3 linked regions of the Oryzias latipes genome follow. The protein of the gene in region 3 purifies or fractionates together with the protein of the main gene of each other region. This does not show direct contact. Links are inferred from orthologs where the notes say so. Each region holds a gene or a part of one and is shown on either strand. Other genes may lie near its edges.

What was found. Proteins that work in one complex are often made in the same cells at the same time.
Region 1: the proteins of ncbp2 (region 3) and kpna1 purify together in Homo sapiens (affinity purification with mass spectrometry; 3 studies listed by BioGRID and IntAct, with this or other methods). This does not show direct contact. The link is inferred for Oryzias latipes from reciprocal best matches to the Homo sapiens genes NCBP2 and KPNA1.
Region 2: the proteins of ncbp2 (region 3) and kpna3 purify together in Homo sapiens (co-immunoprecipitation; 3 studies listed by BioGRID and IntAct, with this or other methods). This does not show direct contact. The link is inferred for Oryzias latipes from reciprocal best matches to the Homo sapiens genes NCBP2 and KPNA3.

Annotation. Positions count from the first base shown.
Region 1 is NC_019878.2:17,888,356-17,894,302, forward strand, and holds the start of kpna1 (importin subunit alpha-5), read right to left. Parts: upstream 3,507-5,947; 5' UTR 3,391-3,506; intron 2,773-3,390; 5' UTR 2,765-2,772; coding exon 2,639-2,764; intron 2,373-2,638; coding exon 2,259-2,372; intron 2,158-2,258; coding exon 2,058-2,157; intron 1,786-2,057; coding exon 1,691-1,785; intron 1,577-1,690; coding exon 1,445-1,576; intron 1,328-1,444; coding exon 1,239-1,327; intron 1,141-1,238; coding exon 1,041-1,140; intron 258-1,040; coding exon 94-257; intron 1-93. UniProt on the Homo sapiens protein: Functions in nuclear protein import as an adapter protein for nuclear receptor KPNB1. Binds specifically and directly to substrates containing either a simple or bipartite NLS motif.
Region 2 is NC_019879.2:9,657,955-9,663,808, reverse strand, and holds the start of kpna3 (importin subunit alpha-4), read right to left. Parts: upstream 3,507-5,854; 5' UTR 3,387-3,506; coding exon 3,318-3,386; intron 1-3,317. UniProt on the Homo sapiens protein: Functions in nuclear protein import as an adapter protein for nuclear receptor KPNB1. Binds specifically and directly to substrates containing either a simple or bipartite NLS motif.
Region 3 is NC_019862.2:17,993,295-17,999,219, reverse strand, and holds ncbp2 (nuclear cap-binding protein subunit 2), read right to left. Parts: upstream 3,863-5,925; 5' UTR 3,770-3,862; coding exon 3,695-3,769; intron 3,040-3,694; coding exon 2,953-3,039; intron 2,800-2,952; coding exon 2,705-2,799; intron 2,209-2,704; coding exon 2,070-2,208; intron 1,955-2,069; coding exon 1,856-1,954; 3' UTR 1,201-1,855; downstream 1-1,200. Other genes in the region: peptidyl-prolyl cis-trans isomerase FKBP2, read right to left, coding at 5,320-5,736. UniProt on the Homo sapiens protein: Component of the cap-binding complex (CBC), which binds co-transcriptionally to the 5' cap of pre-mRNAs and is involved in various processes such as pre-mRNA splicing, translation regulation, nonsense-mediated mRNA decay, RNA-mediated gene silencing (RNAi) by microRNAs (miRNAs) and mRNA export.

The DNA.
Region 1 (5,947 bases), on a different chromosome or scaffold from region 3:
TTCCTCAATACTGAAAACATGCTTTTTCAACCCCAAATATCTTCATTTAAAGTCTCTGTCAAAATCTTTATTGTATTTTTATCTTTTACTTACAACAGCAGTTCCACCAGTCTGCGACAAACTCCTGAGTCAATAACAGCCTGGATTTTGTCATTTGGGCCGTCAGATAAGTAGGAGAGTGCCCAGCATGCATCAGCAAGGATGTCTGTGTCATGGACAAACAGCAGCCAAGAAAGCACGTTCAAACAGGGGGACACCTATGGAGAACATGAGAACAAGAGTAGTGAGAAATAAACAAAATTAAGCATCTTATGTCGCTCCTTTTTCAGTTCAGACCCTCCAGGACCTCACAGGCATTTTTTTTATTGTTGCGGTACAAAAAGCCTGAATTTGAAGCAGTTTTGTTAAAAGTTCTGACATTTTTCAATAATTTCCAACACAAGGCTGTAAGAGGACATACACATTTTAAAATGCTGTTTTTTTTCCAGTTGCTCTAAAGTAAAAATGTATCCAAGACTGTTTAATGTTTGCTTTTGTTGTGCAATATAGTTACATTAGAACAGAAAGAGATACTGTTGCATTAACCCAATGAACTTTGGGAGATGTAGTGAGTTATGATAAAAAACGTGCCACTTATGTTGAACAAATGTGAGTCTCCAAGATTCGTTATTATCTGTAGATTTTACACCGTCCAACACCAAAACCCGCTGGGAGCTGGCTGCGCCGCTAAAAACAATCTTTAGCTGGGATTTGTGGAGGGAACAGAGATTTTACCAGCCATGTTGGCACCTTTGATTGGTTAGACTGATGATGTACATGTTTGAGCCTCTAAACTTGATTGGCAGAAAGGGTTTTACAAGTAAAACTTTTTCCAAGTTACAGAGATTGGGTAAAGTTGCAATGTCAAGAAAAAGTTGCAAGTGTGCAATTCCAACATCTGAAAGTCCTGGAGGGTCGGTAAATAATTACCAACAATGGTTTTTAACTTAACTTGTTCTTTGGGAATGAGAGACATGTTAAGTATCATCTTGAGAAATTACCTTGGAGAAGTCAGGAGGAGGATTTTTGCCTCTGCACAGGTTAGACAGTGCCCAAACTGCATTCCTCATCATTGTTAAACGATTCTGTTTAGCCAATAATCTGAAAAAAGGAGTTCGATGTTCAAACATGGACTTGTTCATATTTATCTCACGTGAAACGAGAACCATAGAGCTGTTTAACAATAATCTGCTACTTACTGGATCAGGGATGGTAGAATATTGCAGTCTATGACAAAGTCTCTGCATTCTGTGCTATCACCTGCTATATTACCCAAAGCCCACACTGCCTACAGAAGAGGAAATAATTCAAGTTAGACATAAAAAAACGAATTTACGAAATATGTAATAATTTGAAAATAAGAATATGAAAAGAGATAAATATTGACAACAAAAATGTCCCTCACCTGTTCTTGCACATCTTCAAAATCCGAGGCGAGCATCTCTATGAATATGGGAACAGCTCCTGCCTGGATTACGACCCTAGTCTGGTGGGATGTGCCTGAAGCAATGTTGGTCAAAACCCACGCAGCTTCAAACTAAGAAAAACACGACCAATTTATGTCAGGACAGACAAAAAAAACTCCATCTAAAACACTATAGCTCATGATTACTAGACTAGCTGCATTTGTTCAGGCATTAAACCACTTTACCTGCAATGTGCAATTTTCTCTTCTTTTTAGGAACTCAACAAAACGCTCCACCACCCCTGAAGTGGCAATGACCTCATCAATAGGTGGATTGGGCTCTGTTGGAGACAAAAATTGAGACAATTTTTATTTAATTAAAAATTAAAAATAAATCAAATCAGAACAGTCTTTCGTTATTTTTGTAATATTAAAAAAAAATGAAAGAAATGAAGATGATGCAGCAAATTGAATTTGAACATGATCAAGATTGTTTCTAGTTCTAGATAACTTACAAGGCTGTTTAGCTCTAGTTAAACAGTAGAATGTGTTGATGCATTTGTTCATCGCTCTATGCGATATAGAACAGGCTGGCATTCAGCTAGACCTTTACCTTTAGAAAGGAGTTTTCTAAAGCGTTGTGTGCCTATTAGCTGCTGCTCTGGAGTGCTGGAGAAAATCATCTGAATCATGTCCTCAGAAATGACCCCACCCTTTGCAGAACATAGTAAAAACAATAACAGATCAGTCAAATTTATTGTGAAAGATGCAACAAACAACACCATAAAAAAGGTTTTATTGAGCTAATTCTCACCCCAAATGGGTCCATGTTGTTAGCCTGGGATTCCAGATAACCACTATCTGCCATTCCATCATCCTCCAGGGCACCATCATCCTCCACAGTGGCAACATTTCTTCTTTTAAATAGCTGCAAAGACACAGTCCTTAAAGTTGTACAAAGAAATAGTACAGCATCTTTTGGTTTTATTATTATATGTACTTTGACTAGGTAAGAAGCAGCATAACAAAAATAACTGCTGTTACCAGTTTGTATATCTTCTACTTGTCTTATATGGAAGTAACACAATTCCATATTGTAAAAACCTAAGCAATTTATGAGGGGGGAAAAAAGCTAGGAAAACACACTAAATTATTGTGTTTGATGGATGAATATAAAGTTTACACTTTACTTACTTGTTCGTCCTTCTTCTGTTTTCTGAGCTGCAGGCCTTCCTCTTCCCTCCTTCTTCTCATCTCATCTGTGTTGAGAGACTTGTTCTTGTAGCTCTTCAGTCGTGCATTATCCTTCCCCTGACTCATTTTGTAGCCTGAGAAAATGAAGAATTTTAGTCTCGTTAGTAGTCCCGGTGGTGCAGAACTTTAGTGTTACAGATCCTGGAAAACCCACATGTTGTAGATGTATTGTAATGTCTGTATTTTCTTTTACATTCTTCTGTGTATTTCTTCAGGTTTTCATGACAATCACCGCAATGTATAGCAAAACCAAGAATGCAGGTCGTTTTCAGACGTCTCGAACATATTACTCAAGATTGTCAGAAGGGCTTGTAGCAGTTAGCTTTATAGTTTGCTAGCTTTCGGCATGTTTGCCCAATACCAAAATCATTACTGTGGAACAAATGACTTTTCTTTCTATTTATAGAGAGATATGGGTTCTCATTAGAAATCAAGACATCAAACAGTCTATAGTAAAAAATGCTTATTTACTTAATTTCCCACATGATTAGCTTGTTGATGTCACAGCTCTTGCTAGCCTCTGCTGCTAACGAGCTAGCTTGACGTTAGCTTAGCTGAAAACCCCGAGTAACACATGCCTTTTAACAGCTTATTTGTCACCAAACTTTTAAACACACATACTAAAATCATTTATTCGTAATCTAAAAGCGGTAAAAGTATAGAACAACAATGTGTAGATACATTATACATACCTGTCAGTTTAGGTTTTATAATCCCCTAAATCGCTAAGCCACTGCTTCTGCTGCCGTCGCCGGTATGCCACTACGCATGCGTCAAATAAACGTATTCAGTGACGCTCCTTTGGCTCCACCCACACAAGGAGCTGGCCCTGGTAAACAAGTGAATAGTTGTGCGGTTTTCAAAAAAAATGGACACAAACTCTAATGATGGAGTTTCTTTTTGAAGCACAGTCGGTATGTGGGTATCGCAGTTCAATCAATGGCTGAAATCGTGCTTTCAAACTTCAAGGAGGGGTCGTGTGTGCAACACCTGCCCGCGTGCAGGTGTGTTTTTAAATGTTTTTGAAGTGGCCCTGACTAGACGATCCGGCGCCTGTGGTCTTTAAATGACCCGAGGTGGACACCGTGTCCATCCAAATGATGAAGTGGCCTTAAATGTTTGGGCTGCAAAAGATTAACAGATGTTAAAAGTGATACTTCTCAACAAAGGAAAAAGAAATTAGGATCATGACATAAAAAAATTAAGCTAAGCAATAGACAGAACCAACACAATGGCCTAATTGGCGCATACATTCAAATCTGCATCCCAAAAATAGCTCTTAAATTAGTTTTTTTAGCCTAATTTAACCTCCTTTTTATTCCTAAAAGTACGAATTGATACACCTGTAAAATAATCTGAAGAACAAAGCCTTTGAGTGCCCAAACATCTGCAATCATTGTTTCAGGTTTTATTTTGAAAGTATTTAAATTTAAAACTCTCCAGACTAACTTGGAACTGATCGAAATTTGTGTTCCAAAAATGGCCTCGGTGCAAACAACTGTGGATGTCCAGAGCGCGCACGTCCTCAGCGAGGACTGCTTTGACATGTGGCACGACTACATGAACCTGGGCGCACTCCTGCAAAGGCTGTGCAACCGGCGGCAGGTCGACCCCGAGAAGCCGAAGCAGGAACCCGCGGCGCCGTGGCGCATCATCCAGACGCAGAGCTCCGCAGAGACGAGCTCCGTCAGCAGCCTCTCGGACACCAGTTGCGGCGGGAGCCCCGCAGATTACTGCCGCTTCTGCAAGCAGAACGGCGAGACTCGGCAGGTCTACCGCTCGCACGCGCTCAGGTCGGACGACAGGAAGGTCACCTGCCCCATCCTCCGAAACTACACCTGTCCCATCTGCGGGGCCACCGGAGACCGCGCTCACACGCGCAAGTATTGCCCGCAAGCGCAGAGAGAGGATGCTGCGAGGATGCTGCCCGCCAACAAGTTCTGGTAACTGATGATGATGATGATCCCACTGAAGAGACCAGTTATCCACCGTTGAGACAATGTTTTCAGTTAAACACCAAAGGAAAAACCGAAATCATCGTTACAAGTTTTTAGAGTCTATAGCAGTTTCAGAGCTGGTTCATGTTTGACTTTAAAAATCTGCTTGATTGTCAATCTGCAGCTAAAGAAGGTGATTTCTTACTTTGAAAACATTTTCCGTTTTTTAAATAACCTTTCATAATTTTTTTAAAAACAAGTCTGTTGTGTTTTAGATACAAAATGTTATATTTTTTGAAAAAAGGTTTTGAAGCAACAATAAATCGTTTCAAAACTTTTTTGAGAAGTTGTCTTTTTAAAGTTTTCAGCCACGATGACGTCATATTTTCCTGCATGTTTGGTTGGACCTAAGTTGAGGTGTGGAGATATATGTAAACAATATTTATAGACTCGTGTGAAGATTAACTCACCATTTCATAACTTAAAAGCTCGTGTTTGAGACCAAACCGAAACTGCTGTGAAATCAGTTTTGATGCCTTTGACAAATACAAATCAAATAAAATAAAAACTGGAATGTTGTGTGGCAAGCTTTTTATTAACCAAATATAGTTTAAAAGGTCTCCTAATTTGTTTAAGCTTGATTTTGGGGTTTTAGATGATGAAAAAAGCTTATATCAAGCTTTGTTATTAACCAAATCCTTAAGGCTCTGTCTTTTTGGTCTTTAAACCTTATTTATCTCACAGGGAAAAATTTACTCATCGTGGTAACTCAAAGAAAAGAGACAAGTGCTACAATTACAGCTCACGAGATATCAGATTAAACAAACAAATGAGTAAATAATGTCATGTAATAATAATGTAGTTATTTGGTTCGCAGACTTGACATGAAAGCATTTTAAGGAATTTTGATCCAAAGACCTATGAGTCATTACAAAATACATTACAAAAGACGATAACATTTATACCAGTATCTATTATAAAAGTGTTGATTTGTTGTTTTAAAAATATTGATTGGAATATTTTTGTTTTAATCATGCATTTTAAAAGCAATATGGTTGGTTAAAACAGTACAGCCCTATAAAAAAATAAAAGATATGCAGCTGCAACAATTAAAAATGGGATATTTAGCATGAAAACGTGTGAAAATGTATAAATTCTCTAAAGAAAATAGATAAAAATGGTTTAAATACAATGCTGCAAATGGATAAACGCTTCAGGGCAGAATGCAAGGCAGTTTCCTTTTACAGATTACCTGTAAAACAAGTTTGTCCTGTTCGTCTTGACAACTTATAGAGACAGTTGTCTGCTATAA
Region 2 (5,854 bases), on a different chromosome or scaffold from region 3:
TTTAATCAAGGACAATTATATCCTTAATATCAAAGATTAGGCAACATTTTAGTAGAAGAGGTTTCCCAAAATCCTAAACTAAATCTATCACAACAAAACTAAAAGGAAAAATGAGATAAATATTTGTGTCCATTTTTGTTTCCCAGTAACAGAAACTGCAAATAATCTTCAAAAGAAGCTGAGGGCATTTGGTGTGGTTTTGGAGACAGGGTATACATTCACGGAAACACCAGGTGGTTTTCCGATTTTTACAGAGGAAAGCGGCAAAGTGGGGCATCTCAAAGGACATTCTTCGAAACCGTGCAGAAGAGACTCTTCAAGGTGATGCTTTCCATGTAAGACAATGCAAAACCAGATTCAGCACCTCTAATGCCTTCGTCACAACTACCCTTATACTGGCTGAAAAATGGGCATACCTGCAGGTGGCCCGCGAAGCTGTAGACCTTGTGGTATCTTGTGGGGTCAAAATGACCCCACCCTGACATTGACCTGTTATTCCTACTCTGACAAAGGTGGAAAAAGGTGAAGAGGATTTCATGTAATCCATGGACACCAGTAAAGATCACATATCATTAAAAGAAAGAAGGTTCAGAGCACTGTCTTAAAAATTCTAACAAAAATGAAAAGTTACCCAAAAACCTGTTTGGCAGAATACCAAGACTTTTTTTTTTTTAAAAAGCTGTAATATTAATAAATCAAACGATTGCCAGTCTTCTTGATTAAATTTGCCACCCCCATGTTTGCATGGATGTTTACAGCTAAACGAATTCCTATCAGCAACACGTGTACATTCATATGGCTGACCTGCAGCTGCCTGCATTTTATTAATTTGTATTTTTTGCAGTCTTTGCCTTTGACCACGAACACTTAGATTATGTGCTCTGCTATGCAAATACTGGAAACTAGCCAAGCATAAACTGCAATTTAAAAAAGCAATGCATTCCTTTTTCAAAATCATTATCACCAGGGTGAATTAGAGTCGTACTACAAGCAAATGTGACATGACTGTACTCTGCAGCAGTGTTTTTAAAGAATCAGGGAGGTCAGCATCAAATAAAGCAAATGTTTAAATCATATTCTTATAGGAAGCATAATGTCTGGAGTGAAGGACTTTACAGCAAACATGACAGAACATGATTTAGGAGTCACATGAAGGACTACAAATGGAGCCGGTACAATTAATTAACAAATAAATCTACAAAGAAATAAGACATTTCTCATACACAACAAACACACCACTATGCGGTTTGTTTAACTTGTTTCATGTAAATTTTTTATGGAAGGTTGGTGTGTGACTCCATACAGTTTTCCATACCAAGGCCTTGAAGTTTGGAGTGCTGTAAGGCTTCATGAGGCTTCATTCACTCATCACCTTTTTTCCTACACAATGTTTCCGTTCGTCAGACACTGTTGGTCTCACTTTTCTGCATAATTTTGTTTCTTTTTTGTCTCATTTCCTAAATTTCGCTCATCGTACAAAAATCCCATGGTATTCACTTAAAACAGAATCTTACTTACATTCACTCCTGCAGTTTAGTCTGTTAGGATACAGACAGGAGCCTGAAGGTCATATTTTCAGTTATACCAAAGTGATGCCGCATATTCCCACAGAAAGCACCTAACAGGGAACCACACGGATCTATTAACAGGTTTCCTGTTGTTTATCCAAAACACGGAGATGTCCTAAGATCTTGTGATGCTTAAAAAACAGGTTCATGTTTCCTTCTTAAATAGCCACTCACGTAATCAGGAACTGTTATAAATAAGAGGGCAGTGGAGAAGAGAGGAGCCTCCCAATCACTGCAAACATACAATAAAATACAATACTTCTTAGCTTTTCTCTACTTCTCCTGTATTAGTGACAAGAACAAAGAATACATCCAGGATGGCTGACTTAAAAGCAAACAAGCTCAAATGGACATGTCTCTCCCTGATGCAGTATGGGTCACCCACTGAAAAGTCCAGTTCATGCTGGGGCTTTAAGAGGCCCAGGGTCAGACATCCGAGATTCCTGAAATAGCATCAGGAATGCAGCAGGCACCGTCTGTGTGTCATGGTAGCCATGTGCTTGTCAGCCTGACCCAACTTTCAAAACAACAACCTGTGTTGGTGTGTTCAGTTGGGGTACTCCAAACACTGAGGTGGATTTTTCAGACACACTTTTGTTTAGGGATTATCTCAGGATTAGACATAGATCACAATAACCCAGGCACAAGTGTGTCATTGTTATTAAAACCTTTGGCCTAGAGCGCTTTGATAAACATCTTGTGGAAAAAAAAGTTTCAAAAATATGCGTTTAATGAAATAATCTTTTGTTTTCTTACCTAACCTAACATCAATTAATCCAGACTGTTGCCTCATCATGCAGGCCTAATGCAAACAAGAATTCAGAAGGATTTGTCCTCCTAATTTCACTTGTTATGAGAATGATGCAGCAACAAACTTGATTAGATGGTACAGTAGCCTGTGAGGCCCAAAAACAACAGACTGTCTACCACTAAACCCGACAGAATCAAACACTTGTGTGAAAGTACAATTCTGAAATCTGGAATTCCAAACAGTCAATACTATGTTAACCAAACTGTTAGGTAGATTAAAAAAACTAATAATTGAAGAGTTATTACGTTTAGAATTTATTTGTTTGTACAATTTGAAACTAAAAGATAACACGAAAACAGTAAACGGATTGTAATTGTTGATCTGGGTTTATTTCCTTGTAGCCTGGTTTACCTGAACCACCTGGAAATTAATGCAAGCTTGATGAGGTTAGCAAGCTAACGATCAGCCAGGACAGGAGGAGGTAAAAATGTGACCTAGACCGGAAATTGATTACAACATTTACAACTGTTACACAAGGTATGGTGACCGTGTGTGCCGCAGGTAACAGTGACGCAGACTACTGGTGGTTCACTAATATACGGTATATATAACGCTGATGAAGCCGGCCAGGCCCAGCCCCGCCTGCGACCGGTATCCATCCAACCAGCTAGCTAGCTAGCTAGTTAGCCGGTAGTGACAGCTTCGTCGCCTACCGTTAATCAGACTGACTCTGTGAGAGATTGCTGTTCACAGCTACTCATGGACTAAAGTAACACACATTGTGTTAACCAATACCCAATCACAACACTTTGAATACAAAATATTATTACACACAATCGAACAGATTGACAGATTTCATAGCGAATTCTTCCTGATGGCTTGCTAGCTGACTTGTAAGCAAACTGTTTCAGTAGGGGCCAGGGCAAACGAGGCCCTTTTAATACCTGAAAATGGTTCCGTTCGTGGTGTTTAAAAACCACGGGTTTGTCTAAGCTCACCTCGACATCACGCCCTTTATTTTTGAAGCTCTTGATGCGGTGGTTTTCCAAGCCGGCGTTCTCTGCCATGGCTGTGCGGGCTTTAGCTAATATACTCCCGTTTTAGTGGATCTCCTCCGTCAAAGACTAGGCACGGCTCTTCTTGTGCTGCTGCTGTTGCCGTTGGCCCCACAGAGGAGGAGGGGGAGGAGTGATCGTAGCAGATCGCGGAGGGGTGGGAGGAGTCAGAGCATACCGCCCACCACTTACCCCTCCCATCCCGATGGGCTGTCCCTGGTATCCAAGGCTCCCAGGATGCAGCACAGTTGGAATAAAAACCTGCTTTTGGACTAACATGTTCTTGTAGCATTTTTCTGATGATGGTGGACAGAAAATTGAGCTTGAGACAGATAGATCAATATACGTCTTTGTTTTCCTCGTCTGAGCTGACATCTTGATCAAAACTGTACACCTGGATAGCTCCAGTATTGCTCACTATTTTTGTTGCACCGGTAATGTAAGGTGGGGCATCTAAGGGACTGTAAGCTAGTGGGAGAGGATGTTGACAGATGTATAATGGGAATAAAAACAAAACCGTAACTGCAGCCGCACAAGACCCAGTACGATCATCTTTTAAGCTATTTGCAAAACGTTCAGAGTGATCTTTTTATATTGATTATGCCGTTTTTATCCAGCCGTACAGTTTCAAGCCAGATTCTGGCTTGAAACCCTCTCGGGGCCCCCGGTCGCTCTGGGTGTCACCCGCTTCGGCTGCGGGGTCTGGGGTGGGGTGGGGTGGGGGGCTTGTCGGCCCTGTCCTGTGGGGGGGCGTTCTGGGGGGAGGGGGGGCCCATTATTAGTACGGGTCGGGGGGGCTAGCGGGTCGGGGTCTCCGCTGAGGCAATCAGTGGTTGCCTCGGCCGGTTGGCCTCCTCGGTCCCGTCGAGGCCTGACCAGAGCTCTTCTAGGGCCGGCGTCTGGGGGTGGGGGCCTGGGCTTGCTCCGGGGGGGGGCGACGCTTTCTGGCTCCTCTCTCTCTGTGTGGGGTGGGTGGTGCCGGGCCTGGGGTGTCGGCGCCTCCGGGGGTGGGCCCCTGGGCTGGGTGGCCCTGGCCCCTTTGCTGGGGGTGGGCTGGGGGACGGCTGTTTGACCACCGGGGGACAGTCTACCAGCTGTCCCCAACTTACCCCCTTCCTTATATAACCTCATATTAGGGTGAGGGGGTGGGGGGTCTAGCCTGCGATGCGCCTTGGGGGGGGGCTACTTGGGAGTGGCCCCCCTCCTATGGTTGCCGTATGGAGTGGGCCCCCCCTCTTTCGGTTTTATTTGCACCTTAGACATGTAGGGTCCTTGGTAGGGGGGGTGCTTGGACATCACTGCAAGCAAGCAGCAGATGTCCTCCTGGCACCCTACCCGCCAATTTTAACCGCACCTTAGACATTTAGGGCCCCTTGGTGTGGAGGGTGAGGGGACATCACTGTGAGTAATCAGGAGATGTCCCCTTAGTGCCCTACTCGCCAATTTTAACTGCACCCCCCTTAGTACACACACCCCTCCCCCTTCAATATATACATTCAAACATAAACACACACACATGCACACAAACACCCTCTCAAACACCCATACACGCACACACATTTTACAAGGAAGGTGGGACCTGGGTCCATCTGTCCCCTAGCCCTTCCCTGGTGGGGGGTGCGGGCCCCTTGGCGATGGCGGCCGTGTCCCTTGGGTGCCGGCTCCCTGGGCCCGGCGGTGCTCTCTCCGCACGGTGGGGGGGTTCATATTACACCTGAGCCGGGGGTGTTCGTGTCCCTGGGGGGTGGGTCCTGGTCCTTGCCCCTGGGCGCTGGGCCCCGCCAAACTTCCAACATGGCCGAGCCTGGTCGGGCCATATTTATAACATCCCTTGTGGGCCGCCCTTTTTTCCCCGGGGTTCCCCCCTCCTGTGGGGGGGCGGCGGGCCCCTGCCTTGCTCCTACCTGGACCAACCGTGGGCCGGGTGGGTGGCTGCCTGGAGTGCGGAGCGGGTCTCCCTTGGGGGGTCCTGGCTCGTACCTGGGGTCGGGGCGGGGGGATGCCCGGAACTCCTGGGTGGTGGTGGGGTGCTCGTCTGGGGCTGTGGGCGTCCCTCTCCGGTGGGGCCCTGCGTTGGGCTCTTCCGGCGCGGCGGGGGGCTGCTTTCCTGGCTGGGCTGGGGCGGCGCTCTCTTTCCCTCTGCGCCTCCCTGCTCTCTGGCTCTGGGGGCCTCGCGGCGGTCCTGCTGGCCCTGGCCTGGGTTGCGGTCTTGGTCGCCCGGGGGGCGGTTGTTCCCTGCCTGTTCCCGTGTGGCGTTGGGGGAGCTCCGGCTGCCGCTGCTGCTGCGGCGGGGGTGTGGGTGTGGGGGTGGCTGGGCGCTCCTCCTCCTTCTTTTCACATTCCACCATCCATTTTAGAAGAACATAAACACTCACCTGAGCACAGGTGTTAGCTCACCTTTGCACTAATAGTTTGCATGATTGAATGAATGAAAGATTTCACACTAGTTGGTTTAAAGGCATAGGTATGCGTTCGTGAAC
Region 3 (5,925 bases):
TGTTGCACATAAACCTTTTATGGGCAGAAAGAAATCAGCAGGTTGCTGTGGAGCTGTTGCAAAAACAATTTCTCGGTAATCTTGATAAATGCTTGAAGATGTGTTATAACTAGTTCCAGGCAGAGAGAACTCAAAAACCCACAAATTTGTTGCAATGAAGCATGTATGTAATGTAGACACTTAAAGCTGTTTTGATCAGATATCAATCAGTGATGGCTGGACTTTGTTAGGGTCAGAGCTATGAGGCACTTCTCTACAAATTGCCTTTTCTTTTTATTATTAACAAGAAACTAGCTTATTAAAGCTACTTTAAATCTAGAAAAATAGGTAAATAACCAAATTTGTCTCATATTCTTCTCTAATTGTGAAATGTACTACTGATGCTGAGAGATATTGGAACAAGTATAAAGTATTTTTTTTCAAACAATAAAAGCAAGTAAGCAATCCAACCCTGATCCAGAGAGATTATCGTTCTTCATTGACAATATGAAATCCAAATAGAAACTGGGACTGTGGCTCTAGCAAATATGGTGGAGAAACTTTTGCTACGCTCCTGCCACCTTGTGTTCAGTTTTTAACCAAGTATCAGTTTACTACTTAACCCTTTTGCTATCCTAGGCACTTTAACATTGGGAGTTGGGTCATCTAGACCCACTAGACAGTGCGCTGAACCTTTTTTCTTCAATGATTTGTGATCTTCACTGGTGTCCATGGATTACATGAAATCTTTCCACCTTTATCACGGTAGGGAGAACACGTCAATGGTCATCTTGACCCGATAGGATAACACAAGAGTTATAAAATCATCCTGAGCTTACCTTTATTAGAGGGGAAAACAAAAATGGAACTTTTGGCACATGGTTGGTGTGAAGAAAACTATAACTAAATGTTAGGTAGGATGACTTTTTTAAAGGTTAATCCATGTGAAAAACAGGAGAACTAACAACAGCTTTAAGAAAATTGTAAAAAGTCAACTTCTCTTAAAAAGAAAATCATCAAAAAAAGCAAAATTTCTTTTAGCATAGACTTAAATGATGCATCCTCATTTACATAAAGGAGATTGCAGCAAATATTTAAGTAATGTTAATAGCATACTGTTTTCAGACCTTTATAAAATTCATTACGTGGATTATAATATTCAATGAATTTTTTCATTTATTATCCATTTTGTATGATCAAAAGCTTTACAAATAAAACTGACAGTTTAATTAAATGTGTTTATTGTATAAAAAGTCTACAGAGACAAAATAAATTTAACATTTTGAATTCTTACCACAAGAGAAAAACAAACACAAAAAACCCACCCAATTAAACAAAGCTATAACTTTGTTAGAGAATTGCAATCAGAAGGGTAAAAAATAAAAAAGGAAACAGAAAAAAAACATTTCTTCAAAATAATTCACTGGATAATTTATTATCTACTGAACAAAAAAGTCTGGTATGACCCTTTATATTTCTTTAATTCCAAATAAGAGAAATAGGAGTGAGATGCTGCAGGTTTTTCAATTTAGAGAAAATGTTAACTGCACTCAAAAAGAATCATAAAACAATTTTAGAAAATAGTTTTGTAACTAACTGGTGACAAAAAAAAGAGTTAATAAAAGCTCCACCCCAGTAATGCACATTCACTACACCTAAACAAAATGTCTCAATTGTTAAGAAAAACAACAACATTCTATTTCAAATGGATTTGACTGATGATATCAGATTGAAATAAATGGTATTCATAGAAGATTTATTCCTTCTCTGTTCATCTCCAAGTCCTAGATCTCTTTGGACACTGCCTGCTTTTTGTTGATCATCAGGGAATAAATTCAGTCCTGTATGAAGTCCAATCAAAACACTCAGACTTGGTCTAAAAAGTATTGCGAGCTTCTGTGCTCCGCTGTTGCTGCGCCAGCTTCCCATAGCCTCCTCTGGCAGGATCGTAGTCCTGCCTGTACTCATCTCTCACCTACACAAAAACAGAGACAACAATCAAACATTTTCATAGACGTATGTACTTTGTGACGCAAACTGCATCAACAAACACTTTTGGACTTTTCACAGACACTTTAACCATATCTCACCTGTCCTCCAGACTTTCCTCGCCCGTACTGCCGGCCCTCTTTGAAGCCAGCATCCCAATCTGTCCTGATGATGCGATCATCCAGCCGTGTGCCATTAACGAAGCGCATGGCGTTTTCTGCATCTCCTCGTGTGTAATATCTGGCACGCCAGCAGTTAAATCCTTTCTAACAAAAGCTTCAGTCGGCTTGGGCTGCACTGGGATGTTACTGTCGGCTTCTTAATAAGTTTGATAGATTTCATGCAAAACAATTTCTACATTTAAACAGTTCTAAGGTATGTAATAAAACTAAGTTTGTACTCTGTAACCACAAGCAAAAACACTTTAGAGTGAACATTAACAGAATACCTACTATAACTGTAGTTAAGGTTTAAATTACTATACTCGCTGTGTGTTTTACAAACTCATTAGAGCCTAAATGGTGTAAATGTAGATACCTATGGAGCTTTGCCAAAATGATGAAGAAAAGTAACTGCCACAACACAAATCATGAGGTCTTAATTATTTAAAAGATGACAAAAATATTTATCAAATAATGTAAGTCATATGTTATTTAGGGAGATGGAATCACAAAATGTACATTTTTACCTTTGCATAGAAGATAAATCATCCATGTCTGGTTGTTCAAAAGGATACTCTACAAAGCAGAAGCCACAGGCAGTTTTTTTGACTTTATCAAGGCCGATGATGATCCTCTTAACATCTCCGCATTTAGCAAACAACTCATGAACCTGTTAAAAAGTCACCAAAGGAAAGAAATTAATTTTAAAAAAAAAAGACTTAAGACGTGAAAAAAAAAAAAAAAAAATTGACCTAATTATTTCATTACCAGGACTGGAGATCATAACTTCACATCAGTCTGAAGCAGAGTTGAAGAATCTCACCTGCTCCTCAGTGGTGTAGAAGGACAGATTCCCCACATACAAAGTGTTGCTCTGTTTCAGCAGCTTCTCCTGTTCATAACGGTTCCCCTAATACCGAACAAGCAATGAAAAATTGTCAACACTTGACAATTAATAGACATTTGGCACGAAAAAAATACAACACCTTTTTATTTCACCTCCTTTATTTCTTTAAGCTATAAATCAACCTGTGTAAGGCATTTTAAAAGTGGAAGGTTAAAATAAATAAATCTAATCTATAAATTTATTGCCCATTCGAAATGTTAACTATAGATTTTATTTTCTTGGGTCTTCTTGTGCTGCTGCCTCTTGTTGTCCACGTAGCACCCTTTTTTTATTTTTAAATATTTTTAAGATTCATTTATAAAAGGTTCTATATCTTCTAAAGCTTGATTTGAATTAAAGTAAAATTATGCATCCATCAAAACAACGAAAATAACGAACGAAACAGAAAAATAATTGTTTCAGTGTAGCAAAAGCTTTATTATTTTTATATTGAATTTGGACTAAGAAACAGCAATGCAAGCAATTAAAACGCGGTGTAATTAAGAGAATAACATGTTTGTTTTGTAACTTTACTAAAGCGATTGACAAGGAGCAAAATTATTGGTGCAATCAATTTAATTTTAAAATGAAGCATAACCGCGCTTTTGTTTTCACATGTTTTGCTAGCTTGATGGGTCTAAAACAACTCATATGACTTCTACGTTCATTTCTCACTTACCTTAAAATGTTGGTCCCTATACTGACTAACTTCAATGTAAGAATCGCTGTGTAAAGCGTTTAATTTAACAGACATTATGATGCAAACGGTCAAAAAGCCGCGTAACTGCTAACCAGTGTTAGCGTGAGAGGTATCAGTTCCGGTTGTGCGCTCGTTTATTGACTCCGGGTGGATATTTGACCTGGACATCTGACAGTCTTTGTTGTTGGAAACATAATTTTAAATACGATGAGTTATTGGTGATGCTCTTTTTCTACTCATGCTTTTAACTTTGTGATTAAAGGAAATATCTTTAACTTTGTTTTTCCTGTTATTGATAGATTTATTGCTTTCTTCTTTTGGGCGTTTTGTTCAGTTTTGCCTGGGTTATAGTTGTCACGTTTGTTCAAAGTTTGAAATAAATAAAAGCTCAAGCCTCATAAAAATTGGCGAGGAACTTAAAAAAAAGTATTTTCTGTTGTATGAAGATGGCACTTACAAAAGTCTATTTTTAGGTTAGTATATGTTGCCAATTACAAAAATGTAAAAACCTTATATTTCAAATGTTTGGATATCTTTCTTCTTTAAAATAAAATCACCAGCTTTTAAATCTGAATTGATATTTGCTTTACAGGTTTTTCTTTACTCTTTTAGAAAATATTGTAAAGTTTCTGAGATTCATTCAGAAACCTTTATGCAAAGCTATTCCATCTCAAGGGCACACAGAATTGCACCATCTTTGCATAGTATTGCACTGCAATACTCCAGCTGCAGACTATATGTGAAACGTGGAACCATGCTATTGGCTGCAGCCTGATTACAACAGTTTATTCTGTTCTGTCTTACTTTTTTCACATTTTTTTTAAATGTACATTAGATAAATGTTAGTATTTAAAACTGTTACTCATCCTTCTTGACTTTAACAGTTCTACTATATGCAAAATGCCTACTAACTGTCCAGAAGAGAAAACTTTTAGTCTTGTGCACAGATTTATCACATCTGTTTCTTGCTTTTGACTTCTGACACATTTAAACATTCAAAGTTCAAAAATTAATACATTGCAAAAAAAAAAAGAAAAAAGAAACAATTTAAACACAGGGTGGCATTTTATTTTTTGGAACAAAGTGAACACAAATGTTCCCCCCTAATCTGTTCCACTGATTCACTTTCATTGATTTAATGTAAATTTAACTACCTAAACAAATCAGAAATGTATTAGAGTTTGCATCAAAGAAATAAGAAATTAAGAATAACGTTGCTCAAAAGCAGGACAGTTCTTTAGAAAAGATGAACCCAGCTGCTGGCTGACAGTTTGCTACATAGCAAGTCCAAAACATGATCAGCTCATAATAAAGAGTTGTGGTTCTGCTGAGAAGTCTTGACTTGTATGTCAGTTTCCATCATGGTCTCCTTAATGCAACAGCAGCACCTGGAACCGGAAGACAAAACCAGAATAAATGAAAACAGTGGAAGACATGACAGGTGTTATAGTGTTATGGATGTGGGACCAAACATGTTCAAATAAATAAATAAAAACCTCACAGGTTTCTTATAATATTGTTCTAAGAGTAATCAAAGACCACCAGACAGTCAAGCTAATAATCCCACCTGCTACATCCTGTCAAAGTTCCCTTCCTTCTCGTCATCAAAGCTCAGATCTCCTCTCGATGCTGAGCAGCTCCACCTCAAAGATGAGCGTTGCTCCCCCGGGAATCTTCGGAGGAGCTCCCCGGTCTCCGTAGCCCAGCTCGGCGGGGATGACCAGCTTCCTCTTTTCCCCCTCGCACATCCCCAGCAGGCCCTGGTCCCAGCCTTTGATCACTTGCCCGGTGCCCAGGGTGAAGGTGAAGGGTCTGTCGCGGGGAATGCTGCTGTCGAACTCGGTGCCGTCCTCCAGTTTTCCGGTGTAGTGCATGTTCAGCACGTCTCCCTTTCGGGACTTGATGGGGCAGTTGTCCACGCGCTTCTTGATGCCAATCTGCAGCTTTTTCTTGTCGGCTCCGTTCACTGCGGCGGGACTCAGAGACAGCGCCGCAACCGCAACTAACCACAGCGCCCGCATAACTTATTGTTGATAAGCGAAAATTTGTAGTAAAGAATCAACTTTCAAATTTAACGAAGTACTTGGTGAGGAAAAAACCCCGACTAAAACAGAATGGTTTAGAAAGCGCATGCGCGAATGGGGGCGGAAGTACTTCTTCTTCTTCTTGTAGTTTAAATAGCGGGAGGCACCAACGTCAGGGTGCATTAC